3 linked regions of the Yarrowia lipolytica genome follow. The protein of the gene in region 3 interacts with the protein of the main gene of each other region in a pairwise test. Links are inferred from orthologs where the notes say so. Each region holds a gene or a part of one and is shown on either strand. Other genes may lie near its edges.

Region 1 (9,253 bases), on a different chromosome or scaffold from region 3:
AGCCACTACCACAGCCCCCAGTTCTGCCCCCCCAGCAAACTCAGCACCCAACGACGACGAAGACGACATTCAAAAGGCCATCAGACTGTCACTACAGGAACAGGAGTCCTACAAACCCCCTCCTCCTGCAGCAGCAACCTCCAACGACGATGATGAAGACATGAAGGCTGCCATTGCAGCTTCCCTTAGAGACATGGAAAACGAGCGACAGACTGGACAGACCTCTGCATCTGCCGGTGGCTTGTCTTCAGCTTCCACTACAGTCATGGCTCCTTCCCTCACAGATCTAACAGCCACAGAAGAGTCTAACATCAATCTGCTGTCTCTGCTTGTTGAACGCCTCAAGGGAGAACCCCAGGGAACGATTCTGCGGGAACCCAAGATCCAGGAGTTGTATGACACCGTCGGCAACCTGCGACCCAAGCTTGCCCGAACCATGGGCGAAACCATCTCCAAGTACGACTCGTTGGTGGATATGCATGCTAAAATGACCACCGTGATTCGGTATTACGACGCGCTGTTGGAGGAGAAGCTCAACCAGGCTTACACTAATAGACAGTCGGGAGGATACGCACCACAACCTCACTTATCCCACCAGATGACGGGACAGCCGCCTCACTTGGCCCCTCATCTGACTGGCCAGATTACTGGGCAACCCCATATGGGTTACCAGCACACCGGACAAGCTCCCTATCTGACCGGCCAGGTCACTGGACAGGCGCCATATCTCTCTAACCAACCCACTGGCCATCTCACAAACCACTACACTGGGTCGGCACCCTCTGCTCCTCAATATGGGGGTCCACCAGCACAAAACGTCTACAACGCACCCAGTTACCAGTACTCCGGTGCCCCCGAATACGACTATGCATCTTCTCCCAGTGCCCCTAGTGCCCCTGGAGGTCCTAGTGCGCCCAGTGCTCCCGCCCAGCCGAAGGAGGAGTCTGCCCCTCTCATTGAATTGTAGCATCACTAGACTAGCCGCCGTGGATTTAATATTAGGCCCTGCTTGCGGTTACATTCCACATACTGTTTTAATCTGAGCATTCATTGGCGAGGACGTACATACCGTCCTAATTGTATCAGCGCATCTCGAGTACAGTACTTGTTCTTGTAACATATCGATGTGTACTCGTAATTCGTATATCAAGTATCTCTTTAGACGTTTAGAGAGTCCATAAATAAGGGGATTGGTAACGAACGATGAAGAAAATAGCCCGCTTCGCTCACCATCTGTTCAGACGACAGCCCAACAACTCGCTTTGTAGGTTTCCGAGTTATCTACGGCCCATGACTGTTGCCCTCCTCCTTCTCCGCCGAAATCTCTTCTCCTTTGAGATTCTTCTCCACGTCCTTGACAATCTCCTTGAGGTACTCCACGTCTCCCTTTCGGCCAATGATAGACACGGTGTTTTTCTTGAGCTCCATGTGCGGGTACGAGCCGATCTTGATGTCCTTCTCATTGACCTTTTCTTGCAGACGTCGCAAGTAAGGGGCCATGACACTCTCGGGCAGATCGGTCATGACAAAGAAACGGATCTGCTGTCGGGCCGTGTCCACCTTCTTCTCCAGATCGGGCTTGATTCCCTCCAGCAGCCGGGTGAAGAGACTGGGCACACCAGGGAGAATGTTTACCTTGCCAGCCACCGTTACAATGGGCACCCACAGGTCCTCGGCAACGTAGGTGATGTCCACCGTGTTGGGGAGCTCGGGGAGAGCTGTGGTAGCTCCCTGGGGACGAGGGACAGGGAAAGAGGCCATTCTCAGCTGAGCCGTTCGTGCTTCCGTGTCTGAGAAGTCGATCTTTCGTCTACTCAGACGAGTCATTCGGTCCACCGTTGCAGGGTGCTGTTCGACCCCCATATCGAAGGCCTTGGCGATAGCCTCGTAAGTGATGTCATCGTGGGTTGGTCCGATGCCGCCGGAGGTGACAATGAAGTCGTAACGCGAAGCCAGTCGCTGGATCGACTCCACAATGTCCTTTTCATCGTCGGGAACCACCTCCACTTTCTGTAGATCCAGGCCCAGAGCGAAGCAGTAGCGGGCAAAAAACTTGGAGTTTGTGTCTGAGATTTTTCCATTCAGCACCTCGTCGCCGATGATGAGCGCGGCCGACGTTTGTAGCAGGCGTGTGGAGGACGGAATTGGCATTATTCGGCTTGTTTGGTGCAGAATCTGGGTCGCTCGAAGCATGATATGTTAGACTGAGTCGCGCCTACTCTGCTTTGTCTAATATAGCGCGGGGTTGGGAGTGGGGTGGTTGGTCGACGGAGACATGAACCGTGACTAATAAAAAGTTGAGTCGATATTAGCGCCAGCGGTCTGCGCACAGTCTGCGCGCGGCGGTCATTTGCGCTCTTGCATTACCACCGTGCCGAGCACCATGTCCTGCCCACTCATGTATTACTAACCATCTGCTCACAAGCGTAACACGATACTGCGGCTGCCTCGCCCTCTCTTTGATTGGCTGTTGGTGGGACGGAGAGTGCAATACTCCAGTGAAGAAATGCTCGTGGTACCAGCTACGACCAAAGACAGAATCTAGCGAGAAAGCCTGTGGCCAAATCGCTCATTTTTCTTGAACTGATCCAAGTTTCTGATTAGTCACAAATTTCACAAGAAAAATTATTCAGCAATATCAGTCTGCATTTTTCAGTCACTTGCTCTCCCCACTATGACGTCAGAACTCAATTGGAGGTATATATATAAAAGACCATCAGAACCACACCAAAAGTGCCACCAAATACAACCAAACACTGACGTTATATGGAATCGTTCATCGTTTGGTTGCGCTTGGTATCGTTTGAACAGAATCACCTTACAGATACTTGTAGCTGTATCTCCACCGCCAGAATGCTTACTAAGCAACCCCCCCCCACCCCCCACCTGACGAGCGATTCCGGTAGAAACTGATCCTTCCGAATTATTACTAAGCAAGCCCAAACCCTCCGTGGCAGTAGACGAGAGAGGTCTATTCGGATCCTCTTCTCCGCTCGATGATGCCTTGACAGACCCGTAAGCTCCTCTCTTAAGTTTCACTGTGTGTCAGGCGGCGGCGTTGAGTGAGAATGGCAGTATATCTCGGTCAATAATGGGCGTATTTGAAATCTGAAAACGTATTTTGAACCGCCTTATCAAGGGGAACACATTTGTACATACTTATATGCTACAATTGACCACAGAATCACGGTAAACTCCTCTATTCCGCCTACACAAATCTCGCCCCTGTTAGAGTTGCGATAGGGAAGAAAAAGTTCTGGGACTTTCCAGACATTGAGGGAGCCGGGAGGAGGGGTCTATTCAGGGGAGCAGAACGGAGAGGAGGGGTGGGGTTGGTTCACGTGACCAAGTTGATGTCGAGGAATGCTTCCATGGTTTTCCGCGGTCTTCGAGAGTCGTCCACGTCCCATTCTAGGCTTCTCCAGAACACTCTCGATTGTCTTTCAGTCTCGCCTGAACCTTACTCTGTCCAAAGGCAGAAAAAAATATAAAGAAGTTGAAATCGCTTGGTCCAAAAAAAAAAAGTACTAATTGCATTTTATTCATCTACACACAACAACACACACAACATGTCAGTCAACAACTTCAACCCCGAAGAGGCCGAGAACCTCGAGGACATCGAAAAGCAGTTTGCCGTCAAGGCGGTGCACCACCTGGAGACGTACTGGAAGCTGCTCCACGCCGTCAAGGGCTCGGAGCTCAAGCTCACCAAGATCGACGACCAGATCATGACCCATCTCATCACAGTGTTCCCCGAGTACCTGGATCACGAGAAGGTGCGAGTGCTGGACGAGAACGACATGAAGTCGCCCACCAACAAGCCCAAGTGGAGAGAATTCATGAACACGTACGAGAACATCATTGCCGACTACAACTTTGGCACCATTCTGCGAGTTGATGCTTCCAAGGGCTACACTGAGACCAACACCATGTTTGTGCCTCGAATGCAGTTCCTGGCCATTGAAATTGCTCGAAACAAGTACGGTCTCAACGACTGGGTCTACCAGTCTGACGCCTAAGCGCGCGGACGGAGACGCCAAACACCACCAACAACTAATGTTGGGCAACGATAGAGCCCGATAGCTAATGTCATTATTTATGATTGAGTTGACATTTCTTTAGTAGAATTGACGACATATTGTAGATGAACCGGTACCGTATGTAAAAGGAATCGGCAAGCGATTTCGGTGATCGTTTTCGGCGCCTAAAACAAAGAAGAACACAGCAGCGAAGATACAGAGTTGCCCATTGTATTTGTCTCGTCGAGAGCTATCAAATCATGTCAAAAAAAGTAGCGTCATTCTCCACCATTGTTCCTTTGATGGTTCTTGCGTGGTGATGGAGCCTTCAGAGGCTCGACAATTGATCGTGTGCGGCTTCTTCAAAAAGATTTAACATTCTGACCTCGTTAGTATAGGTCCTCAAAAAGTGGTAAGCATGAATATATATACTGATTTTTTTGTATCTATTGTACTTGCACTGATTATATAATGCCACAATTTGGATTTTCTCATCCTCTGACTATTATTGAGAGAGATAGGGAGTGTATTGTGCCACCCTCAATACTTATGGGATCCAAGTAAATTCTGAATTTTAGTTGGGATATTACTGCAGATTCGACGGTACAGAAAACAACCATATCATTATATATGTATACAAATATCTACTACCTATTCAGCTGGGCGTAGATGTTGGCAATAGGTGTCCCTCAGTATCCAGTGTCATGCAGCGTACTCGGACTCATATGAGGGATATGATCGAGTGTTGGTAGAAGGAAGGGTCTCATTACCAAAACGAAAAGGCGAGTGTGACACATAATCTTGCCCAATATCCGTGCTCCCCTTTCATGTGTTTCCCATTCGACATTTGAATAAGTTCTATTACATGACACTGCCCAAAATGCTTCCCACGCTTCCATCCAACTCCTTCTTGCCCTCCTTTGCTCTCGCACTGTGGGTCTTGCCCTGGTAAAAGTCTCGATGCACCTTCTTTGCCGGCTTTTCCTCCGTCTCGCCGCCCTCTTCCTCCTGTCTCTGTCGTCGTCGCTCGGCAGCCTTGGACTTCTCCAGCGACTGGATATAGGTCTGGTTCTCTCGGGTGGCCTGGGAGATTTCGGTTCGCAGACGGGCCTGTCGGTTGTGAGTCTCCTGGGCCAGCTGCTCAGAAAGATCGCTCCACTTGAACTTGGGAAGGTATTTGGCGTTCATGATATCGTCGTAATGCTGCGAGCCCTTCTTTCCTCCAATCGTGTTGCCGTTGAGCGTGCTGGCACACGTCTTGGCGTACCGCTTCTTAGTGAACTCAGCCCAGCCCTCAGTGTATGCCAGAGCTCTGTTTCCACCATGTCTGATTCGTACCGCCTGCGCTTTGGGGTCCTCGGGAACCAGGTAGATTCTGTCGACGATTCCGAACCGCTGGAGCAGCATTCGCAGCTTGCCGGGGTCCATGAGCGGCGGAATTCGCGAGAAGTAGACGACACCGGTCTTGGCGATCTTCTTGTTGTGTTTCTCAATCTCCTCCTTGGTCATAGGCTTGGTCTTGGCCTTGGTAGAACTAGTCTTGACGGGCTTCTTCTCTTTCTCCTCCTCCTCCTCCTCTTCATCTTCTTCGTCCTCTTCCTCATCGTCGCCGTCGTCAGTCTTTCCAGCTAGCTCAAAAAAGTCTTTGGTCTTCTTCTTGGAGGTTCGGCCCTTCTCTTCTTCATCCTCGTCTCCATCCTCCTGTTCCTCTTCTCCCTCGCTATCAGAGTCGGCCAGCACAAACCGCGGGTCGACCGCCGGCTTGTCCTCCTCCTCCTCGCTGTCGCTGGAGTTGTTTTTCGTGCTGAAAAAATCCACGGCTTTTGCTCGAGCCATTTGAAAGAGTCGTATACTTGTAGCTGATAGTTGTTCTGGTCGCTGCACGAAAATATATTTCCCACCTGCATTTACTTCCAATCAAGGAACTCAACCCTAACCCCATCTTACCTCATCTAACATCGGATATGAGAGTATCGTAATAGTCATATGCAGATTCTGTGGGGTAACCAGAGTCATATAGAGACGCTATCACCACCCAGAAACCACCGAGCATGAGCCTCCGACTACTGACACGTGTCGTGGTGACACAGAAACAACACTGCGTGTCCTTCCACACTCTACAGCCACAGTCATACACCACCACCAAGGGGCCCTATGAAGATGTGGAGGAGCCCAAGAAACGGCGGAAGCGGACGGTCAAGAGCGACACGGAGCCCAAGAACACTGACCCGACACTCGCCGAGGCACGTAAACAGCGCACCGTGCCCACAGCGGCTCTCAATGAAGAAACACAGTCGACGGGGCCTCCTGGAGGAGAGCCTCCTCGACGTGCGGTGGCGCCGGATATGACGCCCCGGAAGCTGCTGGCCAAGCTCAACCAGTTCATAGTGGGCCAGGACCGGTCCAAGAAGGTGTTTGCGGTGGCGATCTATAACCACTACCTCCGAAGCGGCCTCCTGATTGACGAACGACAATGGAGCGACTACATGAAACGCATCAACGCCGCCAAGGGCAAAATCTCGGACCGCTGGGAAAACACCGACGAACCACAGTCGACAGACTACATCAACGTGCTCAAGGAGGAGTACGATGAGGAGACAGAAAGTCAGGTGATTCCGGACAAGGCCAACTTGCTGGTGGTAGGTCCTTCTGGATCAGGCAAGACAATGATGGCAAAGACTCTGGCAAGTTTTTTGTCGTTGCCAATTTCCATTTCAGACTGCACTGCGCTCACCCAAGCCGGATACGTGGGGGACGACGTTCAATCGTGTGTTCAGCAGCTGTACCAGGTCTGTGGAGGCGATGTAGAGAGGTGTGAGCATGGTATCATCGTTCTGGACGAGATCGATAAACTGGCCAAACGGGAAGGATCTGGAAGAGATGTCTCTGGCGAAGGAGTACAGCAATCGCTGTTGAAAATGCTGGAAGGCACTCTTGTACAGATTTCTGGAACCCCAGGAAGAGCCCAAACCACCGCTGGTCTTCCGGGAGGAGGTTCGGCCATGCCCAAGGAGAGCGTCACAATCAACACGCAGAACATTCTGTTTATTCTCATGGGTGCCTTTGTTGGTTTGAGTGACGTGGTGTCAGCTAGATGCAATACTTCTTCCGATATCGGCTTTGGTGCCCATGTCAGGCAGACTGGTGAGGATGAGGGCAAGCAAAAGGACAGTCAGGACAAGCTGGTGACTCTTGCTAACGGCGAAACCGCCAATGCTCTGGATTTGATCACTTCTGAAGACTTGAAAAAGTATGGTCTCATTCCCGAGTTGCTTGGACGGGCTCCAACGATTGTCAAATTGAATCATCTGACCGAGGAGGATCTATTGCGAATTCTGATTGAGCCCAAGAACGCTCTTGTGGAGCAGTTCCGAGTCAAGTTCAAGTCATTTGGCACCCGTATTGTCTTCACCAAGCCTGCTTTACGCATCATCGCTAAGACTGCGCTTTCCGAAGGTCTGGGAGCTCGGGGTCTGCATGCTGTCATGGAGAAGATTTGTCTCAATGCCAATTATGAGTGTCCTGGAACTAGCACTAAGTACGTGCTGGTCGACTCGTCGGTGCTCAGGGACTTTTCCATGACCAACAATACCAGAGACGTGACTTTGAAGTACTATTCGCGTGGCCAGAATTACGTCTTCATCCAGGATATTGCGGAGGAGGATGCCGCCCTGGCTGATGAAATTGAGAAGGAGCTGGCCGAAAGACCTACAGTGAGTAAGAACAGCTCCAATGGCACGTCGTCGTTTGGAGTTAGGGAGGCGGCTAGGGATGTGTTTTGAGTCAGCTATAGACCAACCACCATTCATTTAGATAAATGACATAACGAGATATAATGAAGACATGATCTGATGGAATGACGACTATTGGAAAACAAAAATCTACAGTTTTAGAACTATTTCCACCACAAAGTGTCGCTCATCTCTATCATCTAATGGAGTAATAATCCTCCTTCATTCATTCAATAACATGGAACTCTGCTCCTTTTTACAAACCCAACTTGGTAATCTCCTTCTCCAGCTCGGACACGGCGTCGGCAATCTTGTCGGCATTGTCTCCGGAGCCCTGGATGGTAGGACCCTTTCCTCCAGATCGGCCACCTACAAGACCGGCGGCAATGGCGCCCATCTGCTGGGCAGTCAGACCCTTGTTGGACACAGACTCATCGATGAAACAAGCGTGGGCAACCTTGCCCTCGGCGGGGGAGCCAGCAAACAGGTAGACAGACTTGCCAGGCAGCTTGGACTTGACGTGGTTGATGGTCTCAGACAGAGCCTTGGAGTTGGCGGAAATGTCGGGAACATGGGCAACCAGGTAGGTGGCCTCGGGGTTCTTCTCAAAGTACGAGGAAACCAGATCAGTGGAGGCCTTGGACTCAGCCTTGAGCTTGGCCTTGATTCCGTCGGTGATGGTCTTCTGGATCTTGTTGAACTTTTCCTGCAGAGCCAGCTTGGAGGTGGTGGACACAGACAGCTTCTTGAGCTCGACACCAATGGCCTTGGCGGCCTGCTCCTTGTCAGCACCAAGAGGCTGGGCAGCCAGCTTGTCGAGTCGCTCGTCAAACTCGGCAGCAAGCTTCTGCACATCAGCAGCCTCCTTGCCGGTCACAGCGACAATTCGTCGGATACCCTTGGCGATACCAGACTCCTCAATGATGACGAGGTGCTTGATCTCGCCGGTTTTACCAACGTGGGTTCCTCCGCAGAACTCGACCGAGTACTCGGCCCACTTGGCGTCGTCGGGATTGGCAATCAGGTCCTCAACGGGGACACCGACAGACACCACTCGGACGGGATCGGGGTAGGTCTCGCCGAAGACGGCTCGCACACCGTTGATCTTCTTGGCTGTAGTGAGATCGACGGACTTGGCGTACACGGCGAGGTTCTTGGTGATGTAGGCGTTGGAAATATCCTCAACCTTGGCCACCTCGGCGGGGGTGAGACCAGCCTTGTGCGAGAAGTCGAATCGCAGCTTCTCGGAAGCAACAAGAGATCCCTTCTGGTCAATTGTGTCTCCAAGAGTCTCCTTGAGAGCGTAGTTCAGAACGTGGGTACCAGTGTGGTTGTTCTTGAGGGGAGTTCGTCGGGCAGTATCAAAGCCAACGTTGACAACGTCGCCAATCTTGAGAGAACCATAGTTGAAGTTTCCAGTGTGCAGAACGTAGCCAGCGTACACCTGGACGTTGTTGACGTCAAACTCGGTCTGGCCGTCAATGACAATCTTACCAGTGTCGT
Region 2 (10,611 bases), on a different chromosome or scaffold from region 3:
AAGTACACTGACCGAGAGTGCCAGCAGCTGCAGAAGCAGATTATTCCTGTGGAGGAGAATAAGACGTACCGAATCCGAATCATCAACGCTGGTGCCATGAGTGAGATTGACTTTTCCATCGACCAGCATAAGTTCGATCTCATTGAGGTGGAAGGATTCTCCGTGGAACCCTACGAACTGCAGGCAGCACGTGTGGCCAACGCTCAACGATACTCATTCTTGGTGAAGACAGATAAGCGAGAAATTGATGAACAGTTCTGGCTGCGAACCGAGTTCAACCCTCATTGCTACGCCGAAATGAACGATGAGCTCGATATCAACGTCAGAGCCATTTTCTCATACCCCAGCCACACGGAGAAAGTCAAGAAGCTGATTGCAAAGGGGGATCCCAATTACCTGGTTGCCCACGGAGATCCTCAAGATGTCAAGTGGAAGGACTTTGATGGAACCGTCGAGTGTTTGGAGCTCAATACCACCATGTTGACGCCTAAATACAATGACCCCATTCCTGGACGTGGAGACTTTGTCGAGCTTCATGCTGCTTTCCATAGACAGCAGGGAGCCATCAAGCGAGGAGTCTTCAATGCCACCACCTGGAACCCCGCCAAGGAGGCCACCCTGTCTCAGTTTTTGCGTGAGAAACCCTTGGAGATGTTTGCCGATGGACCTTCCAAGCACTGGGGTCCTGACCAGCTGACCGTGACTGTCAACTCCACCAGAACCATTGATCTGGTCATCAACAACCTCGATGACGGAGCTCATCCCTTCCACCTTCACGGTCACAAATTCTGGATTCTCGACTCGGGCAACTCCTACTTCAATTTTGGAAGATATGACAACATTCCTGACAGAGGACAAGTTATGAGAGACACTCTTCAGGTGGACGGATACGGCTGGGTTCTGATTCGGTTTGTGATCGACAACCCCGGAATCTGGGCGTTCCATTGCCATTTTGCCTGGCACATGGAGGCAGGTCTCAGTATGCAGTTTTTGGCACTACCTGAAGAGCTCATGGAGATGCAGCCACCGTCTGGCTGGAATGACATGTGTAAGGCAGCATTAGAGGAGGAAAAAGAGGGCCAAAAGGAGGGACAAACTAACTAAAAAAGATTGCTATAGAGAACGCGGGGTAATATATATATATATATATATATTAATTTACTAAAGACTGTACATATCTACAACTTCTCAGTGCCTATTAATACGGATGATCGGGACTTTGGGGATGCAGGTGGGTCCGGGTGAGACTAAGTAATTTTCCCGACATTATGTACAGTCGGATATCTCTATTTACACTATCTGAGGTGTTGTGTTTTACAGTACGAGTATGTCCCTAATTTCTTCATACAAGGGTGCAGAGGGCATGCGGCTGACTATAATAAATTTGCCACTGAGCCGCCGTTCCTTTTAGTCCAAACAAAACCACAGCCCGCTCCATACCCATTAATTCGGCTCTCACCGTATAGCTACGCACTTTGCCGCATGACGGTGGCAATTTCTATACGAAAATAACTTGATTTTCGCGCATGAGAGGCACATGTACGAAGCACCGTTTTTTCCGTTTGTCGGACTTAGGCCCGACCGAGCCTTAGGGTTAGGGTTGCAGGCCTTGCAATTGGATGTGTCAACACTAGCTCAAGCAGTTAAAAGCCGCGGAAAAGAAACACGTTTGGGTCCGCTCCAGTCACGTGGAATCAAATTTCCTACAGCATCATAACACACAATGGGTGAGTAATCTTTTGTTCACAATCTTATCGACAGACCAACAAGAACACAACCACAGCCAGTCATCGACACACAACCAAGGCACATGACTAACCTAGGTACATCTCTATGGCTCCAGCCTCCTAGGAACTCGCCAATTTGGCAGCAGCTTGCCACTACAATCCAGGGCCTGAAGCCCATCTTTTCAGACTCGGAAAACTTCGAGCCTCACATTACACTTACTTCCAACATTTCCGTCAACACCCAAGGCCAGGTCGACTTTGTGTTAGATCGAGCAGTTGCCGCAGCCAAATGCGTGCCCCAGGGCTTCCAGATTCACCTGTCGTCCGTCAAGTACGGATCGCGGTTCTTCAAGAAGGTCTATCTCCAGGTCGAGCCCACTCCAGAGCTCCTTTCACTCGCCCGAATATGCCGCGAGGACTTTGTGTACATGCCCGAGGCCATGTCACAGGCACGCAACTACCAGGCCATGTCTGCGGAGGAAAGACAAAAAATTGACACCCAAGTGGGCCAGCGGGCTGCCGAGTGGACCAGAAACGAGTACGACCCTCATGTGTCTCTGGTGTACTCTGATCTGTACCCCGTTGAAGACGCAGACCGGCGAACCATTGAGACGAGACTGGAGGACACTTTCGGATCCGGATACGACGAGAGCGGTCTTGGATGGAAAAATGGACGTTTCGCGCTGGTGCGGTGCGAAGGACCTGTGGACGAGTGGGAAGTGCTTGGTGTTCGGGACTTTTAAGGGGTTACGAACTTATTGTTTGGAATGACGTCACATAATAGTCAGCACAATTAAGCACCATCGAGCCTGCTGCTTGTTCACAGTTCTCTAGCAATACTGTGCCATATAGAATGCCAGTGCAAGTCCACATCGTGTGGTTTGGCTGGCCCTTAATGAATTAATGTCTTATGTTTCTGAAAAGGGTGGTGTACATCGTACAACTGTGGACGTAACTCATGGCGTCACTCCCAAGGCCAGAGAGTGTATGGATGGACAGGATTCAGTATCGTAGGGATAATATATTATCAGTCTTTCTATAAACTGGTGCAATGTATTGTTGCTGTGGCGTTGTGTGTTCATGTTGTTCAGCGTTATATCTCACTGGCTCGACAGAAGTTCTCTATACTTTCTTCTTGCATCTACAGTACAAAACCGCCTTCCATGCTAAATTCTATCATTACAGTATATATACATTATGTTGTAGTCTAGTGTCCACTTACTTTTTAAGCAGCTTGGAAGTGAGGCTCTCCAGATCCTCCAGAGTGGTGGGCTCCTCAACCTCCAGCACGCCATCATCCTCCTCCTCGTCCGAAGACTCATCCCGCTGGAACCACTTGGGCTTCTTGGCGGCCTGTTCCTCCTCGGAGTCTCCCTCTTCCTCGGACTCCTCGTCATACTCGTCGAGTTCTCGAAGTCGCTCGATCTCCTTTCGCTTTCGCTTCTTCTCAGCTCGCTTCTGCTTGACCAGCTCCTTGTCACCGACATCAGCTTCCTCCATATCCTTGGTTTCTCGGTCAACAAATTCCTTGACCTGGCTCTCGACGGGTCCTGCAGCCTTGAAATCCTCCTCGTCATCAAACTCGTAGAGAGCATGTGGCGCTCCCTCGTCGTCAAATAGTGTCTTGGTTCCCAGACCCTTGTTTTTGAGCGACTGCTTCTTGGATAATGCCTGCTTGGCTGCTCGCTTAGAAGTGGGCAGGTTGGCGACATCCTCGTCATCATCAGACTCAAGGTTGTGGTCCTGACGCTTGACCGTCATAAAATCTCCAGTCTCCTCATCCTCGTCGGCGTCTCCCTTGACCATGTTGAGATAATGGTCCGACAGGACGTTCTGGTTCTTCCTCTCAAACATTCTGTCCATCTTAGTTCGTACTTCCTTCTCATCGTCAGACACCACTCCGTCATCGCCGGCCCGCATGAGCTTCTGCAGAGCCCGCGACTGGTTCTTCTTGGCGTTGGCTTCTTCCTTCATCTTCTCAGCACTCTTTCCGAGCTTGATCTGTGGTGCACCAGGCAGACCCAGAGACTCCGCAAAGGCCTCGCTGGGGATCTTTTCAAACTGGAAAATCTCCTTGTCCTTCTGGATGAAAATCGACTTGTAGTACGAAATGAAGGCCTTCTGACCCAGGTACTTGATTTCCGGCGACTTGAAACACAGAGCCTGCAGCTGGTTCTTGATGGACTTCTTCTTGTTCGGTCGGATCGTCAGTTTGTTGATGGGGATATGCTTGGCTTCGAGCCGCTGGATCATGGCGGGCTCCTCAGTGGGGGTCAGGAACAGCAGTGCCTTTCCAGACTTTCCAAATCGTGCACTTCGGCCGACTCGATGGATATAGGTAGCGGCATCTTCGGGGCAATCGACCTGAACAACCCAGTGAACAGCCGGGAAGTCGATACCTCGAGCGACGATATCGGTAGCAAACAGACACGAAGAAGAGGCCTTGGAGAATTTGGAAACAACATCCATTCGTGCTCCTTGTTTCTGCTTGCCATGCAAATGCAACAGGGGGATACCGGGCTGCAGAGTTCGGAAGGTCTCGTAGACGTATCGCACCTGTTTTGATGAACTGAAGAAAACGATGATCTTGAACTTGGTGTGTGTTCTCAGGAAACCCCACAGTGTGTCCAGCTTGTCTTGCAGCTCCACGCAGACATAGTTCTGTTCGAGGTTCTTGGGTGTGCTGGAAGTGGTGTCCGGGTTGGCGGAGATGTACTTGGGGTCGGCGAGTGACAAACGGGCCAGATCACTGACGCTCTTGGTCTGTGTTGCGCTGAAAAGCAGAGTCTGTCTGTCCACAGGCAGGTTTTCCAAAATGGCATCCATGGTCTTCTTGAAACCCATATCGAGGATTCGATCGGCCTCGTCCAGCACCAGCATCTTCACGTTAGAAAGATCAAACCCGCTAGTTTGGTCCATGTGTTGTAACAGTCGTCCGGGTGTACAAATGAGAATGTTCAGCTTGGCCAGTCGGTCAGCCTCCATGGCAACGTCCTTTCCTCCAATAACCAAACCAGCAGAGAAGCTGTGACAACGGCCGATTTTTCGCAGAACCTGGAAAATCTGGACCGCCAGTTCTCGAGTCGGACTAATAACCAGGGCTCCTAAACCATCCACATCACTCCACTTGTTTCGAAACAGGCACTCCAACACAGGCACCAGAAACGCCAGAGTCTTACCACTTCCGGTACGCGCTGCTCCAAGCAGATCGTGGCCTTGCAGAGCGGGAGGGATGGCCCGCTTCTGAACATCGGTACAGGTGACATAATGTGAATTTTTTAGACCCTCAATAGTAGCCTCAGACAAGGGCAGCTCCTCAAACTTGGACACCTCCTTGTCGGCCTCGTCCTCTCCAAAGTTGTCGACGCGCTCCTGCAGCTTGGAGAGCTTCTGTTTGTGTTCCTCTCGTTTGATTTTACGAGGATCGGCTCGTTTCTTCATTTTCGCCATATCTCAAGCTGTCGGATAAATTTCTTGGACAAAAAAATCTAACTTTTCGTGCGCCTTCACTTTTATCAGTCTGAAAATTACACATGCATGCAGCTTGGAGTATGGAGGCGACAGAGGTGCATGCCAGAGTGCATGAATTAGGGCAACGGGGGTGTGAAGAAGGGCGCAAAAGATGTGACGACGGTGCAAGACGACGGTATACTGCAGACAAGGTCTTTCACTGCAAAACTCCTGGTTAAATCGTGGGTCCCGCGTCTCCGTATCATATGACTTTGGGTCACGTGACTGCAAGATTTTTAAGGTTTCGAACTCCCAAATTGAGTCACGTGTCGTCTCTCTGCAACATGAGGTATCGTAAATTAGGAATGACTCGACCTGACAGGCCATCAAGGACCCTGATGCAACTCTGAAATTAGAGGGAGGAGGTAATGAGAAACAGTGCTGGATTGTGGTGAGACATTGAAGCGGGATTGGTTAACCTGTTTCTTTTTTGTCGTTTGCTCTTCATTATTGCGATTTTTGTAGTCATTTGATTAGATCAGATCAGCAGTCCCCTCATGCTGTCGTTGATGGGCGCGTAATCAGTGTAACGCTTTGAATGAGGATGGTGGTGAGTAATACTTGGTTTTCATTGGGGGGGGGGGGGGGGGGGGGGGGGGGTACCTGTTACTCGAAAAACAAATCATATGCATCTCTGAACGTGCCGGGGTGTGGCATGTTTCTCGCTTCGAAAAATAAATGTTGGCTGTTCCAGGCTTGTCTCAGACCTGCAAGAATCATACTGGCGTAATCTCCGCCAGGTCTGGTCAGGAACAAGAGAGTAAAAGAAATGTTTGAGTCTCGGCTTTCACATCCTCGGCACTAGATAAGCAGCAATATCAATGTCACATTGCTTGCTTGTGCAGGTCAGGGGGAGGGGGATGTATATGATACAAGCAGGTTCGCATCTACAGAATCTACAGTATGTATCTGATGATAGCCTTACACAGCGCACGCAGATGTAGTTTTTGGGTTGAACAGTGTCAGCGGAAGCGGCGTAGTGGGGTACTGTAGTACAGAATCAACGGAATGAAGTTTACAACTGCTTCTGTTACTGTAGCCTTTCACTGTTCAAATGATAACGTTGGAGAAGAGTGCACCCTCTGTTAGATAGGATTACAGTCCAGACACACATTGGCACCGAAGTCTGTAGTCAAACATTGGTCTCAGTTGGTGTAATGACATTCAATAGACTGATTCTGCAACTCCTACACCTTGCATTGTACACCCGAGACCCCTTGTACGGCCCGCATTTCTCCTTCACATGTCGGCATGTGTCTTGTCTGTAGCCACTTCAATGGGATGCAGTATTAGCACTGTCGGACACACCTCAGTCAATGGGAATGGAATGCCATGCTCCTAGCGGCTCATTGTTTGCTAGGAAATACAGTTAATAGCACAGATCATACAGATCATAGAGTCTAGGCTCTATACGTCTTAGAACAACCATTATTTGTTTAAACGACAACTTGGTAAGCGAATTACAGTAAGTAGCTATTGTTTCTATCTCTGTCAGTGTTCGGATAAGTCCTTAGATCACCATACTCAAAGTGGTACGTTTCGTCGCATCGGACGAGAAGTGTGTCTATCACCGTTTCTTTTTGCCGCTCTCATTTTTGCGGTCGGAATAATTACTGTGGACCCTCGGCGCCGACCGTTTTGCAGGGCTCATCAACCTAAAACTTCTCCGAGTCTGTGCCTTCAGGTGGGCATAGTTGATGGGTGTTTTGAAGTTAATAGTGGGGAAGAACTATGGCAAACAAGCAGATGCAGGCACCTTGTAACTGCAGACCGGTTCTTGTCTACCGACTCCGCTGCACCTGTGCCGCGGTACATGTCGTCACAGGCTGCGGGGTTCGGAGGCCCCCTTGCAACCTCCTTTGATAGTTGCTATGGCCCCAAAGAGTTATACGAGATAGACCCACAGATCTACTTGACTGTTGTCACAGAACCTGCTAGGTTTGCTTATTGTACCCGCTTTGTAGCTACTGTACAACGACAACGTCAAAAATTGAGACGCGAACAAACTCCAGATGCAGAACCCAAACCTCTCTCTCAGAGTTTCGAGTGCTTCTACCTCACAGTAAAGTGGAGGTGGACCTGCAAGGGAATTCAGTCACAAGGCCCCGAATGTCTCCGAAACTCCAATCGGACCGTTTAAACAGACTAATATCACGTCATTGATTGATATTAGCATCCGGCAAGAGCCGCAAGGTTATCTCCTCACCAATGAGCCTGTTGTACGGCTCATTCCGCATCTGCGGCTGATTCAGTTTCGAGTGGGGATGGTAGACTTCATTGCAGCATTCCTAACCTTCTACTTGGTCCGTGGAGATGTCATGGACATCGATTTTGGGCTGAGAAGCCTTTTGACGATGTCGATATCACTGACCGCTAATTTACTCTGGCAGTTTCTCCGGCTCTCGAGGCATCGTCGATCACCAAACACTATCTGCTAGTCTAAATGTCCGACACGACAGCTTTTGATCGCCGTGAACGGCGCAGACCTCATGCACCATGCACCAGGGCCAAATCAATTACGGGTCGCTTAGCGTTGCAGTCGGGGCATTATGGTGGAAGTTCCGATACGGCACAGACACATTCCATAGTGGGGGGATTGGATTATAAAAGGGCCATAGAAAGCCCTCAATTGATACCCAAGTACCAGCTCCCCTCACTATGAAGCTTTCCACCATCCTCTTCACAGCCTGCGCTACCCTGGCTGCCGCCCTCCCTTCCCCCATCACTCCTTCTGAGGCCGCAGTTCTCCAGAAGCGAGTGTACACCTCTACCGAGACCTCTCACATTGACCAGGAGTCCTACAACTTCTTTGAGAAGTACGCCCGACTCGCAAACATTGGATATTGTGTTGGTCCCGGCACTAAGATCTTCAAGCCCTTCAACTGTGGCCTGCAATGTGCCCACTTCCCCAACGTTGAGCTCATCGAGGAGTTCCACGACCCCCGTCTCATCTTTGATGTTTCTGGTTACCTCGCTGTTGATCATGCCTCCAAGCAGATCTACCTTGTTATTCGAGGAACCCACTCTCTGGAGGACGTCATAACCGACATCCGAATCATGCAGGCTCCTCTGACGAACTTTGATCTTGCTGCTAACATCTCTTCTACTGCTACTTGTGATGACTGTCTTGTCCACAATGGCTTCATCCAGTCCTACAACAACACCTACAATCAGATCGGCCCCAAGCTCGACTCTGTGATTGAGCAGTATCCCGACTACCAGATTGCTGTCACCGGTCACTCTCTCGGAGGAGCTGCAGCCCTTCTGTTCGGAATCAACCTCAAGGTTAACGGCCACGATCCCCTCGTTGTTACTCTTGGTCAGCCCATTGTCGGTAACGCTGGCTTTGCTAACTGGGTCGATAAACTCTTCTTTGGCCAGGAGAACCCCGATGTCTCCAAGGTGTCCAAAGACCGAAAGCTCTACCGAATCACCCACCGAGGAGATATCGTCCCTCAAGTGCCCTTCTGGGACGGTTACCAGCACTGCTCTGGTGAGGTCTTTATTGACTGGCCCCTGATCCACCCTCCTCTCTCCAACGTTGTCATGTGCCAGGGCCAGAGCAATAAACAGTGCTCTGCCGGTAACACTCTGCTCCAGCAGGTCAATGTGATTGGAAACCATCTGCAGTACTTCGTCACCGAGGGTGTCTGTGGTATCTAAGCTATTTATCACTCTTTACAACTTCTACCTCAACTATCTACTTTAATAAATGAATATCGTTTATTCTCTATGATTACTGTATATGCGTTCCTCTAAGACAAATCGAAACCAGCATGCGATCGAATGGCATACAAAAGTTTCTTCCGAAGTTGATCAATGTCCTGATAGTCAGGCAGCTTGAGAAGATTGACACAGGTGGAGGCCGTAGGGAACCGATCAACCTGTCTACCAGCGTTACGAATGGCAAATGACGGGTTCAAAGCCTTGAATCCTTGCAATGGTGCCTTGGATACTGATGTCACAAACTTAAGAAGCAGCCGCTTGTCCTCTTCCTCGAAACTCTCAAACACAGTCCAGAAGTCCTTTATAGTTTGATCTGTATCCAGATAGCCTCCGTAATTGGTGTGTGTCTTCAAATCCCAGACGTCCACATTGGCATGTCCTCCACTGATAAGCATTTGAAGTTCATCTGCGTTGAACATTGAGACCCACGAAGGGTCAATGAGCTGGTATAGACCGCCCAAGAATGCATCTGTCTGTGTTCTGATACTGGTGTTAAGCTTGAAGTTGGCCACTTCATAAATATATCGAAGATAGTTGGCCTTAGTGACAGGTACTTCGCTTCCGTTTCGAATCAGATCACGTGTTCGAACATTGCCTTCGGAGTCAGCGTAATCGATTGAAAATGTAAGACCAAGATCGGCATCTCCCTGAGTGGCGTAAATCTGTTTCAGCGATGCAAGACTCTCGTAGAGGTTGGGGTCCAGAGAATACAGATCGTCAATCGACGACCGCATACTTCCTTGTGTCCACTTTTGAAGGAAGAACGATGCAAAGCCGTGCTCAATAAGAATGTTCTCGTAAAGGCCCTTTCCCACCAGATTTCCCAGGAATGCAAGTTGTTTAGTGTCATGGGTAGTCGGGTTGGGGTAAAGAAGGTGGTTATCGGTAGCGGCAAAAAGTCCTCGAGAAGTGTTGAATGCATCATCTGTGACAGAAGTGAGGAACTCCTTCGTCAAACCTCCACCATCAATACCTGCCTCGGGACCAAAATCGTTGAAGAATCGAATCGAAAGAGGTTTCTTCAATTCTGAGCCGTAAGAATACAACTTTTCATAAGCCGATTCAAACTCTCTGCCCCGAATAACAGGAGCATCGATACCCATTCTTCCAGTATGATGCATCAGAAACACATCTTCACTGCCCATAACGTTGCTGTGATCTTCTGCCTTGAAAGCCTCGAACAATGTGACACGGGTGTTGAAAGGGATAAAGAAAGGCAATTGCGAGAGAATTGTTCTGTTTCGGGACCTCATAGCTGACAGAGATGGTCTGGACGCCATTCTTCTGCTTGCTGTCGTCTCCACACCATGCTCTTGGCTCAGTCGCATCTTCTCTTCCTCCACGAGAGACTTGATAAAGCTAGTATCGACATGTAGTCTTCTGACCAGCCAAAATCCCTTTGGCAAGAAAGGTCGCCGGGAATCACGAGCATAGACCTGACGTAAAACTGCAATAATCAGGTTGCACTCTATTTCGTTGGTGATCATGGCCACACACAGATTCTTGAGCACCACCATGAGGTTTTCAATCTCTGAGAATCTGAGCAGAGTAGTGGCTTGGTCACGGAACTCATGGTCGAGTGTGACAATAAGCCAATAAGAGTAGAGCTCCAGAAGTAACGTTAAATGCAAATATTGAGAAGACTCCA
Region 3 (10,340 bases):
TCCCACAGAGACCATCACCTACGCTTGCAGTCGGTACAGAAAGCCCACCAAGCTTCGTCCCTGTGTTGGAACGGAGTGTCCCGTCAAGGTCAACGTTTACAAAGACGTTGACGGCGTTTGGCACCTGCGTCATGCGCCCTATCAAGACAATGTCACCGGCCATAATCATGCTCCAGCGGACTCCAAGTGGAGCGTGATGGTTCATCGGCGTCTTTCTTCCGAAGAACGACAGTACATCAAGGAGTCTACTGAGCAGGGAATGACCCCTACTCAGATTGCACAAGTTCTGAAACAGCGAGGGAACGAAGCAATCACAAACCGTCGAGTTTCGGGTCTGATTTTCGAGATGAAGCGAACGGCGGCCAGGAAGAAGCGGAAATTGGACTCCAAAGACTTGAGGCATGACGACAACGACGCCGAAAGACCCAACTACGTTGAGTAATGTATAATAGCAAGCACAGAGACATGAGGAGACTCCGATTCAGACGGGCTATTTTGTTAATGAGTCGTGTGTGGCTTAATAATCAACAAAAATAGCTTTGGAGGATTCGTCTGTTCCTCTCAAGTTTCTACAGTGTAAAAATCGAGGACCCAGGTCCATTCTACGCCATATGACTAAGCCGGGAAAAATATGGTCCAAAAACAAGCCCGACGTGGGGCTTGAACCCACAGCCTTGAGATGACCTTGGAATAAGAGTCTCACGCTCTACCGATTGAGCTAGCCAGGCAATTTTGGCGATGGGTTTTTCGAAAAGCTAGACCTACAGCACCATAAGTTTGCTTAGTCATAAAAAAGAATATAAATGAATAAAAATCGAAAGTAAAACTCGTTACGGAGCTGATACAAGAGGATGTAAAAAAATGAAATGGCGACATCCGCAGGATTCGAACCTACGCGGGGAAACCCCAAGAGATTTCTAATCTCTCGCCTTAACCGCTCGGCCAGGATGCCATGGATGTATTCCGGGATTGGTGGGACATTGTGAGGGCAGTTATGGAACTTTGAACCGGCGAAAAAACCGGAAAAAACGGCAAAAAAACGGCAAAACCCGGCTAATTTGGGTGTTTTTGGTATTTGGAGTATTCTAATGAAATTTTGATAGTTTTATAGCCAACTGGATAACTTCTTGGTCTAATTTGGTGTGTTGGGCTGCTCAAGTGAATATATAATTGAATAAATAAAGCGTCAACCTGTCGTAGTCTCTAACGTCTAGTGGATTCTCTCAGGTACCTAGCTTCACTTTTTCGTCTCAGATGTTTGCCGTGGTAGATAAGAGGAACGGTCAGGGCTAGAGGGACCAGAGAAATGCATCCCACGGTGATGTAGACGTTCTGAAGACCGACTTTTTCGATCCAGGGCGTCTGGGCAAACACCATTATCATTCCAAACACGTTTCTGACCACAATCACACCGATAAATGCATCAGCAACAATGTTTTTGTAGCTGTCCAGCAGATATGTCAGTACAATGGCTCCGGAAGAGCCGAATCCGAACATGATGATGGCGAATCCGAGAGTGGGCACCATCCAGTGGACCCCGTGGGCAATGGGAAGTCCAAACAGAAACAGTCCGATTGTGAGAGTCAGGTTTGCAGGAATCAGCCCATACAGTCGCATTTCGGGTTCGTACTGCCCTCCGTTGCGTCTGGACAGCCAAATGATTGTCTTGTCGTTGAACCAGCCTCCGTAGACAGACCCTAGTGCCATTCCAATGAAGGGAGCAATGTTGATGTTTCCCAGGGCGGCGGAGGAAAAGCTGTAGGGAGGTTCGGCAAACGCAGATGCCACCGTAGTAGCTGCCATGGCCAACCACGTGAGCATGAAGCCGTATTGGATGGCCACAAAGGTGACGATTGGGTAGGCAAACAGCGTTATAAACGGGGTGTACATTTTCCGACCAAATTCTCTCCAGCTTCCTGGGGTATAGGTGACCAGAGCCAGGCGTTTGGACAGAGGGTTCTTCTGGTACTGGTAGGCGTTTCTGGAGGAGGCTGAATCGGAGAAATCCATGATGACAGACTCCGTCGAAGGAGACTCCAAGTTGCGGACTATGTCTTTTGCGTCCTTGTTGCTCAGATTCTCCTCTGGCCTGTCTTCTTCGTCTTCTCCGACCCCCACCAGGGTCTCTGTTCCGGCTGTGTATTTTGTTTCTTCAAAGAAGAGCAACGTGGAAAGAAACTGGGCTCCGGTTATGACAGCAATGATTCCGTAGACCCATCTCCACCCCAGACTCATGGTGATATATCCCGCCGGCACCATGATGAGAAAGTTGCCAACGTCCACCACCACCATGTAGATGCCGTTACAGGTGCCTCTTTGGTGCACAAAGTAGAGATCGGCCACCGTCATTTGAATTATGGTCTCAGTGACACTGGTGGCCATACCTTGGAGCAAGCTGGAGCCGTACAACTCGCCCACGGTCGTCATTTTGGCCATCCAAGCCGCACATGCTAGAGCTATCGCCGAAGATACCAAATAAACGGGCCGTTTTCCAAACTTTTCCGCAAACGGGATCATTAGTGGACATCCCAGACCCAGACCCGCCACCGACAGCGCGTATCCGTTGTTCTGCTGGTCCAGAGTCCATCCCAACTCCTGATTTTGAGGCGTCCAGAAAACCGTCGATACACAGTTGGCGGTGAACGCCATGAGCGTAAAGAAACAGACAATGAACAAGTTTGTGTGTTTTCTCCACTTGGACCAGTTGAGCGGCTCGTTGGGATCGGCTGTCGGAGTGGGCTGGAGAATGATAGCATCGGAAGCATGGTTTTCCAAGATGGTGGTTCCCGGCGGTTCGTGCGACATTTTCGTGGAGTCTTTTTTCGTGCAATGGCGACCCCGCAGCGCGTCCAGGGTATATATACCAACAAGTAGGGCTAGATCGACTTTTTTAACTCCATTGATCCGCTATCATGGCCGCAGGGTCTTATCTTGCTTCCCAAAAAAGACCTTGTATGCCATGTGAGACATTCAAGGGCTGAAATAACAGCAGGTTCGGGCCAAAATCGGGCCAAATCGGGCCAAATCGGGCCAAAAGATGAGCTCGAGATTTCTTTCGATGATTATAAAAATCTGGTCCTTTTCTTCTCCACCTCGGGTGAAAACCACTAGTTTCCATTCAACACCTCCTTCTTATGTCCATCGCTGATAAGACGCAGATTAAATACCAGTTTGGATCCACCAGTTTGGATCCACCAGTTTGGATACAAGTTGAGGACCAGTGATTTCGAAAAGTGAATGCACTTTCAAGTACTTGCCCGTCATTTCAACTACATTCTACGTCTCATTACACCGATACTCCCCTACTATTGTCCTCCTGTCCTCCCCCTTGTTAGCGCTAACCTAGCCCGAAATGGCTGCATCCAAACGGTCACCAGAAGTCGCTAGAGGGAGCTTTTTTTTTTTTTTTCGTCTGAGGTACATGGAAGAGTTCTATGCCGGCAGTTTGACTGGAACAACTGTTTTGATGATGAAAAACTGAGACCTTGAACCCATCCCGACGGCTGTGACTCCTGTCGGGCCGAAACTCTACATCTATCAGTCGAAATGTATCCACGGAGTCATGGTGACTCGGCGGCGGGAAAAATTACCACAACGGTTTACCCACTGTCAGATTGCCTAAAGTACTGTACTGTAGTGTAGTAATATGTACTACTACTACTACTACTGTATGTACCGTACCACCAATATCTTACCTCCATTATCTATATACCAACCGCAACAATCACCTAACTGCTTGGTTTAGTCCCCCTACTGGTTATCCTTTTGGTGCTTTCGCTTGATTCGCTCAACCAGACTCTCCACACCCTCGCCGGTCTGGTCTCCCTTTCGCTTCTTCTTCTTGGCAGGCTCTCCAGATTCGCCCTTTCGCTTGACACCTCCCTGACCTCGGTCCTGCCGCTTTCGGCGCTCATCTAGCAGCTTGTCCATGGCCTTGGTTCGAGTGAATCCAGGCTTGGACGGATCAATGGCAAACTCGTGGTCGTCGTAAAGAGCCGAAAATCGAGGATCGTCGACCGGCATCTCGAACTTGTCCTCCACAAGACCCTGCTGTCTGTACTTGGACTTCTTCTTGGCGTTTTTCTCGGCCTTGATGATCTCCTTCATATCAAAGTGCTTGGCGTCGGTCTCCTCGTCCACCAGCAACGCTAACTGCTCCATCTCCTTCTTTTTCTTTTCCCGCTCCTTCTTGCCCTTGTTCTTGGGCTTCTTGGCCTCCTTCTCATGCTCCTCATCCTCCTTGGCCTCCTTGGATTCCTGCCACTTTTGGATTCGGGCCGTTCGTCTCTCCTTCTCCTTTCGCTTGTACTTCTCCAGCGTGGTTTCCTCACCCTCCTCCTTGGGCTCAGCAGCACTCTTCTTGGACTCGTCCAGTCCGGGGGTGAAGGTGATTTCCATATCCACATCCTCCTCTCCATCCTCGTCCTCGCCCTTGTTGATGCCGGTGCCCTCCAACAAGCTCTGGTACTTTGCCTTGAGATCGGCCCGCCCCTCCTCGTCAGACTCGCTGTCGGATGCTAGGTAGGCCTTGAGCTCCTCATTATCCATTTCCTTCTTGTTGAACGCCCGCAGAGTCACGTTCTTTCGTTCGGCCGGAGTCTCATCCCACGTGAGCTTCACCTTGGAGTGCTGAAGAGCGGCAGTCTCGAAATCAGACGGCTTGTAGTTGGTGGGAACCCGTGTGCACTTGTCTCGAGGCTCGTCGTCAAAAGTCATGTCCGAAGGCACGTATCGCAAGTCGAAAAAGTTGGCGGTCGACTCGTACTCGGTCCCGTCGCAGTTCTGATAGATGTTTCGGGCCGTGGCGACATCCGAACACACAATAACCGCGTAGTAGTACCGCATTCGCTGCAACTGGTACTTTCGGAAGCTCTTGGAGTTGATTTCCTCGCCGTCGTCGTTGTTGAGCAACTCCTGTTTGATTTTTTCGTCGTCGTCCGAGTCGTCGTCCGAGTCGCCAGCCCGCTTCTTCTTCTCCTCAAACAGCTGCGCGTCCGGTCCATTGAGCTCCTCCTCGGCCATCTTCTCCTTGCCGTATTCACTGGGATAAATGGCCACAGACTTGATCTCGCCCTTAGGGGGGATGAAGCCAGAAAAGGTGGCCATCAGGTCGACCGACCGCACGTGATCCCAGTCCAAATTGACCGCCGCAAGAGTGGTGCTCTCGTCGCCGGTGGCAATGTCCTGCGAGTCCGCCAGCACCACCTCTTCCTCCATCTCCACCTCCGAGTCCGAGTCCGAGTCGTCGTCCGAGTCTGAATCGTCGCCCGAAGAGGCGTCAGAATCGACTCCTTCTCCCCGCGCTCGGTCCAAAGCAGACAGAGGCTTCTTCTGAGCCTTGGTCTCGGGCTCCTCGGAGTCTCCCTCTTCACCGGACTCCTCCTCATCGTCGCTCAGGTTATACAGCCGCTGCAGCTGCGCGTCCTGCTGCTCCAGCTTTCGACCATACTTGTCGACCTTGGCGCCCTTGTGAAAGTCCTTGTTGTGGAGCAGCTCCTTCTTGAACCGCGAGTCCACTGTCACCTTCATGTCCTTCTTTCGCGGCATGTAGAACCGCGGGTCCGAATGCACTCCCGCAAATCGCGGGTCGTCGCTCACGGTCTTTCTCTCCTTGTTTCCCTTGGGTGGCATTTCGCTCTCTGGTGATATGGTGACGATAGCTGATTTGCAAATGAAAATTGAAAAATGAAACTTGAAAATTTCAGATTGTGCAGATAGTCGAATTTTTTATAGTTAGACTTTGGACTTCTGCATCATGTCCTCGCTATGGCGAGAATTGGCCAGACAAGTGCAGTGCATGTAGCAGATAATGAAGGGTGGAGGTCGCAGAGCCGTCTGTGGTCCAATCAGGTCCAGACTCGAACAGCTTCCTTTTTCCCCTTTTCCCCGGTCCCCGATGCTCGCATTCCGCGCCGATTGGAGTCACACTAATGCCGGACTCTCAAAGTGGCAAAATTTGTATGGATGAAATATAGGATAGTAGCACAGCCACGACCAGGAGATCCCCAGCATCATTTTGGTACCATAAAGTGCATCTTGGTGTTCTCCTAGGGTTGAGAGAAGTGGATAGTTGGGCTTTGAATCTTGAGTTTAGAACGGGAGTAGCAAGTGCCATAAACCAGCTTACTATAAGTAGGGCTCCGTTGCTGTTTTCGGGGCCTCATTTTATGATGGAACGTCAGGACGAAAGCGAAAAGCCCTCCAAAGCAACTGCTTCTATTGCTAGCAACAACGGAGTTCATGAGACCGACAAGAAGGTGATTACTACGACCCAGGAGCAAGTTGGGTCTGTTTCCCTTGCTGATTCACACTCCGAGTCCCGCAACTCGTCTGAGAAACCAAACTATCTACGTCTTTTGTGAGTGGATGACAGGGTTGCAATACTGGTGCTTTCTCTCAGCTCATTTGTACTTGTAATTTCATCAATACACTGTAGTTACTCGTCGCTAGCTCTCAATTCAATCTCAAGCAAGTAATCGAGTCGGATTTGAGACGCGTCAAACACAATAATCTCGTCGTTCATGACTCCGCTTTGACCAGCCTTGGCCCAATAACTGTGGTAACCTTCGGGGGGGTTGGTACTGACAGGCCCCTCGGGTGTAAAGTAGTTTCCCAGAGCCACCGACGCCAGAAACATGTAGATGGTCTCTGGTTTTCCGCTTCCATCTGAGGTCCAGAGCATGCCGTCGCAGTAATTGAGCGATTTGGACGACTGGTTGGCGAAATACAGACCGTCCCCAAACATGGCACCCACCTTTTGACCCGGAGACAGTTTAGGAAGAAGCAGGCCCTTTCCCAGAATAGACAGAATGTTCTGGAGACGGGTTCCGTGCCACAGTTCCTGCACGCACTTGATTTTCTTGGAGGTGGCGGCAAAAGGGGCCTGTTGGGAACCCAACTTGATCTTGTAGATGTTCTTTACCTTTGCACATTTGGCAGTGTAGCCGTGGATCTGGTTTTTCGACGATTCAAACATGGTGTTGATTCTGTTGAAGCTGCGTTTGTCGGTCACGTGCTTGACCTCGACGTTGAAGGTCTTTTCGGCGTCCGTCTTCTTCTTGGTGGGTTTCTTTTCCGATTCCTCGGCTGCCTTCTTTTTGAGGTCTTCAATCAGTTTAAGGGTTTCCAGCAGAGCGTCACAGGTGGCCTTTTGCTCGTCAATGGCGGTCTGGTTGAACAGCAGGTGTCTGATTTCGCGGGCGTTTTTCACCTTGTTGGGGATGATGACAAAGTACTGCTCGTTGAGGGTGTACAAAGTGGACATGATGACTTCCAGCTCGGCAGAGGGTTTCACGGCGGCGTTTGGTTCTTCTTCGGCGGGTTCATTTTCGGCTGCTGCCTTTTCGATGGCTTCTTTGGTTGCCTTCTCGGCTGCCTTCTTCTCAGCTGCCTTGGCTTTTCGTTCGGCCGCCTTCCGGGCTCTTTCTGCCTTTTCAGCTTGCTCCTCCGCCTCTCTCTGGGCGGCTTCCTCGGCGTCTCTCTGGGCCTTGGTCTTGGTAGCACGGGCTCTTGTTCGGCGTCGTTTGGAGGGGGGAGATGAGGGTTCAGCAGGTTCAGGTTCAGGTTCGGGTTCGGGTTCAGGTTCAGTCTTGGTTTCAGCTACTACTTCACCTTCACCTTCACCTTCACCTTCACCTTCGGGCTTGACTCCATCCTCAGGGGTACCAATCGGTCCTTGTTGCACCTCCTCATCAGCCCTCTTGCGCTTCTTAGGACCCTTCTTGGCAACCGGAGTGTCAAAAGAGACGCCCTCCTTGGCCACCAGGGCCTCGAAATTGACAACATGGGTCTCAATCTCGCCCAGCAGCCGGATAGCTTCCTCGACTCCATGCTGCTGAATGACCCCCAGAGGAGTCTTGAACAGACCGTCGTCCGAGTCAAACTTGATCGAAGTCGAAGCGGTGATACGATGGATGTTTTGCTGCGAAATCGTCGTCACCAGAACCCGACTCATGTCGTCGAGATACTTGATCTCCTCCAGAGCAGTGTCAATCACATTACTGCGCACCGTCACCCCACCATCATCCTCCACATCCGCGGCAATCAACGCGTCCTTGTAGCCCTTGTTGCGCTTCTGCCGTAGCATCTGGTCGTATTTGCGCTGCCCACCAACATACGTGTGCTTGACTCCTTCGTTGCCAACTCGCCCATACCGAACCTCCACCGTGTCCAGATCGTCCAGAAGTTTGGCATGGTAGAACTTGTTGCAGTTAGCCTTGGTGTCAAACATGATCAGCATTTGTTGGGTCGACATGGCGGCGGTCAATTGGTCGGTGGTGCGGTACTCGTGGTTGTTGGAAATGAACAGATGTCAAAAATTATGTGTTTTTGTTGGTTTTATTTGTCCTTTATGTTCTACAAGTAGCCTCCACATTTATACAAACACATCTTGGCATGTTATGGATGCACCCATGAGATGCATGATGATGCGGCTGACAGGACCGGCGTAGACTTTGTTAGCGGGGCCTTTAAAAGATACATAAATGATACCATTCGAATCTCCAGAGTTCGAGGAGTCCAAAAATGTGCTTTTTACGCCCATATCTTCACTATTCAGTCCGATTATACCTATTTCCAAAAGTACCCCACCTGCGTCTCTGACGTGCCTCCGTTCCAACCCCCGGACATCCTTGAGCCAATAATCGGCACCTGGGCGAACAGACAGCAGCGAGGAAATAGCCATGGGATGCGGTCACGTGATGTATTATGAGATCTGTGGTGGTCATGTGACTAGATAATATGAAGGTGGTCGAAAACGGTCCATTGGTGGTTTGTTGAGAATCCGACTATGATCATCCAATGACGTCATTGGGCTACAAGTGCATAGTCCAATGGCATTTAAAAGAGAAGAAAAAGGAGGGAAAAAAGGAAAAAGGAGGGAAAAAGAAAAAAGGAGGGAAAAAGGAAAAAGGAGGGGGAAATGGGTCAAAAAAAGCTCCTATGGTGGAAAAATTGGGATTTTATATATCGATTTTGTTCTCTTGGGGGCTTCTCTACTTTTTTTTTTTCTGCATATACATACCTGGTTTAACGCGGTGTTTCAGACCAAATATTGTTGAGAAAATAAGTTCCTTCTGTTGGGAGTTTACTTGGGTTTTAGTTGAAACCAAAGTACGGTACCTGAGGAGATGCACCAAGCGATATTCGAAGCTTTCAGAGGATATAATGGGTGATTACCTCGTATAGATTGTGTGCGATTCAACTCACTAAAATCACCAAGCTTTGTACGGCATTTTCTAGTCATTTTCACACATGCCACTTTTTTCGGTCTCAAAATAAAGTTGCATCAGCCAGATCAAGCCTCCCCGAAACATCACCACTCCAATGCTGCAAACCACATCGCGAACGGGCCAGAGCTACTGCCACCTGGCCTACGGCGAAGCTGACAAGAAGTCTGTGACCTTGTTCATCACTCGATCTAACAAGCACGAGCCGATTCCCTCCGGAACCGAAGATGAACAGACAGGGGGCCCCGGCAAGGTGAGCAGTCTTGTCTACGCGGTCCCCAAAGGCCAGGAGGTGCTGCTGACCAAGCTGCTTCAGTCCGAAGACACAATCGACACGGTGGACCGTCTGGCTCGACTCATTGTCAAGAAGGGAGCTTACAAGTTTCCCATCACCGTGGGCGTGTGTGAAGGGGGGGTTCCCGAGGCTGAGATCCCCCAGATTGTCAACTGGGTTGCTGGCGAGGTGGCAAAGGGAGCTGTGGGTCAGGAGGAATGAGAATCCACATCCACCATCCACGCTACGTGATTACGGCCATAACGAACCACAAAAACAAGACGACAGCATGGACACTCGAGCAAGGTCTGTTCAAGGTCTCCTTCCATCAGCGGCCAAGTAAAGCTCGTGGCGCTCCTTTCTGCTACTGTTTCCGGGGACACAGCATTCCACAGGTACTAATTGCCGTGTCACAAGGAGAGCTGGTGCATAACTGTCTACGGTCTGGTGCGCTCTGCGGCCAAATCACCTTGCACCTTACAGTTCTCCTACTTGGTTGAATATCCTCCCAAAGGGGGTCCATCTCTCCCAGATGCCTGATAGTAATAAATCCATTGGATTACAAACTCTCAATCTGCCCGTCTCGCCTCTTAGGCAATGACGCACAGCCTGAAGGACTGGCTCTGTCGTCTCTCTATCGTTAGTATTAGCCGTAGTCGAAGACTTGAATCTGCACGATACTTACTGACTTCCTGAACCTTTTGCTCGTGGGTCCAGCTGGGGTCGTAATGTGCCATATTGTCTTGTAGTGGTAGTAGTGGTGGTGCTTTTGTTTTGTCGTTTTTGTTATTGTCTACTGCAAGGGACTGGTGGCTTTTATGCTGTTTCGCGAGCTGCAA

Evidence for each region.
Region 1: the proteins of YALI1_C24460g (region 3) and YALI1_B05520g interact in binary tests that used the Saccharomyces cerevisiae proteins (3 or more experiments, as listed by UniProt). The link is inferred for Yarrowia lipolytica from reciprocal best matches to the Saccharomyces cerevisiae genes ESF1 and ESF2.
Region 2: the proteins of YALI1_C24460g (region 3) and YALI1_A21345g interact in binary tests that used the Saccharomyces cerevisiae proteins (3 or more experiments, as listed by UniProt). The link is inferred for Yarrowia lipolytica from reciprocal best matches to the Saccharomyces cerevisiae genes ESF1 and HCA4.

Annotation. Positions count from the first base shown.
Region 1 is NC_090771.1:546,175-555,427, forward strand, and holds YALI1_B05520g (uncharacterized protein), read right to left. Parts: upstream 5,856-9,253; coding exon 4,881-5,855; downstream 1-4,880. Other genes in the region: YALI1_B05454g (uncharacterized protein), read left to right, coding at 1-967; YALI1_B05483g (uncharacterized protein), read right to left, coding at 1,282-2,193; YALI1_B05497g (uncharacterized protein), read left to right, coding at 3,570-4,019; YALI1_B05522g (uncharacterized protein), read left to right, coding at 6,071-7,801; YALI1_B05571g (uncharacterized protein), read right to left, coding at 8,007-9,253. UniProt on the Saccharomyces cerevisiae protein: Involved in the small subunit (SSU) processome assembly and function, and in the 18S rRNA synthesis. Required for the early cleavages at sites A0, A1 and A2. Stimulates DBP8 RNA helicase ATPase activity.
Region 2 is NC_090770.1:2,129,267-2,139,877, forward strand, and holds YALI1_A21345g (uncharacterized protein), read right to left. Parts: upstream 5,178-10,611; coding exon 2,946-5,177; downstream 1-2,945. Other genes in the region: YALI1_A21283g (uncharacterized protein), read left to right, coding at 1-1,104; YALI1_A21311g (uncharacterized protein), read left to right, coding at 1,811-2,470; YALI1_A21372g (uncharacterized protein), read left to right, coding at 7,896-8,900; YALI1_A21409g (uncharacterized protein), read right to left, coding at 8,993-10,611. UniProt on the Saccharomyces cerevisiae protein: ATP-dependent RNA helicase required for ribosome biogenesis. Involved in the release of U14 snoRNA in pre-ribosomal complexes. Required for pre-rRNA cleavage at site A2.
Region 3 is NC_090772.1:2,441,332-2,451,671, reverse strand, and holds YALI1_C24460g (uncharacterized protein), read right to left. Parts: upstream 5,632-10,340; coding exon 3,751-5,631; downstream 1-3,750. Other genes in the region: YALI1_C24526g (uncharacterized protein), read left to right, coding at 1-442; YALI1_C24488g (uncharacterized protein), read right to left, coding at 1,204-2,805; YALI1_C24434g (uncharacterized protein), read right to left, coding at 6,437-8,254; YALI1_C24419g (uncharacterized protein), read left to right, coding at 9,325-9,631, 9,691-10,001. UniProt on the Saccharomyces cerevisiae protein: Involved in the 18S rRNA synthesis. Required for the early cleavages at sites A0, A1 and A2.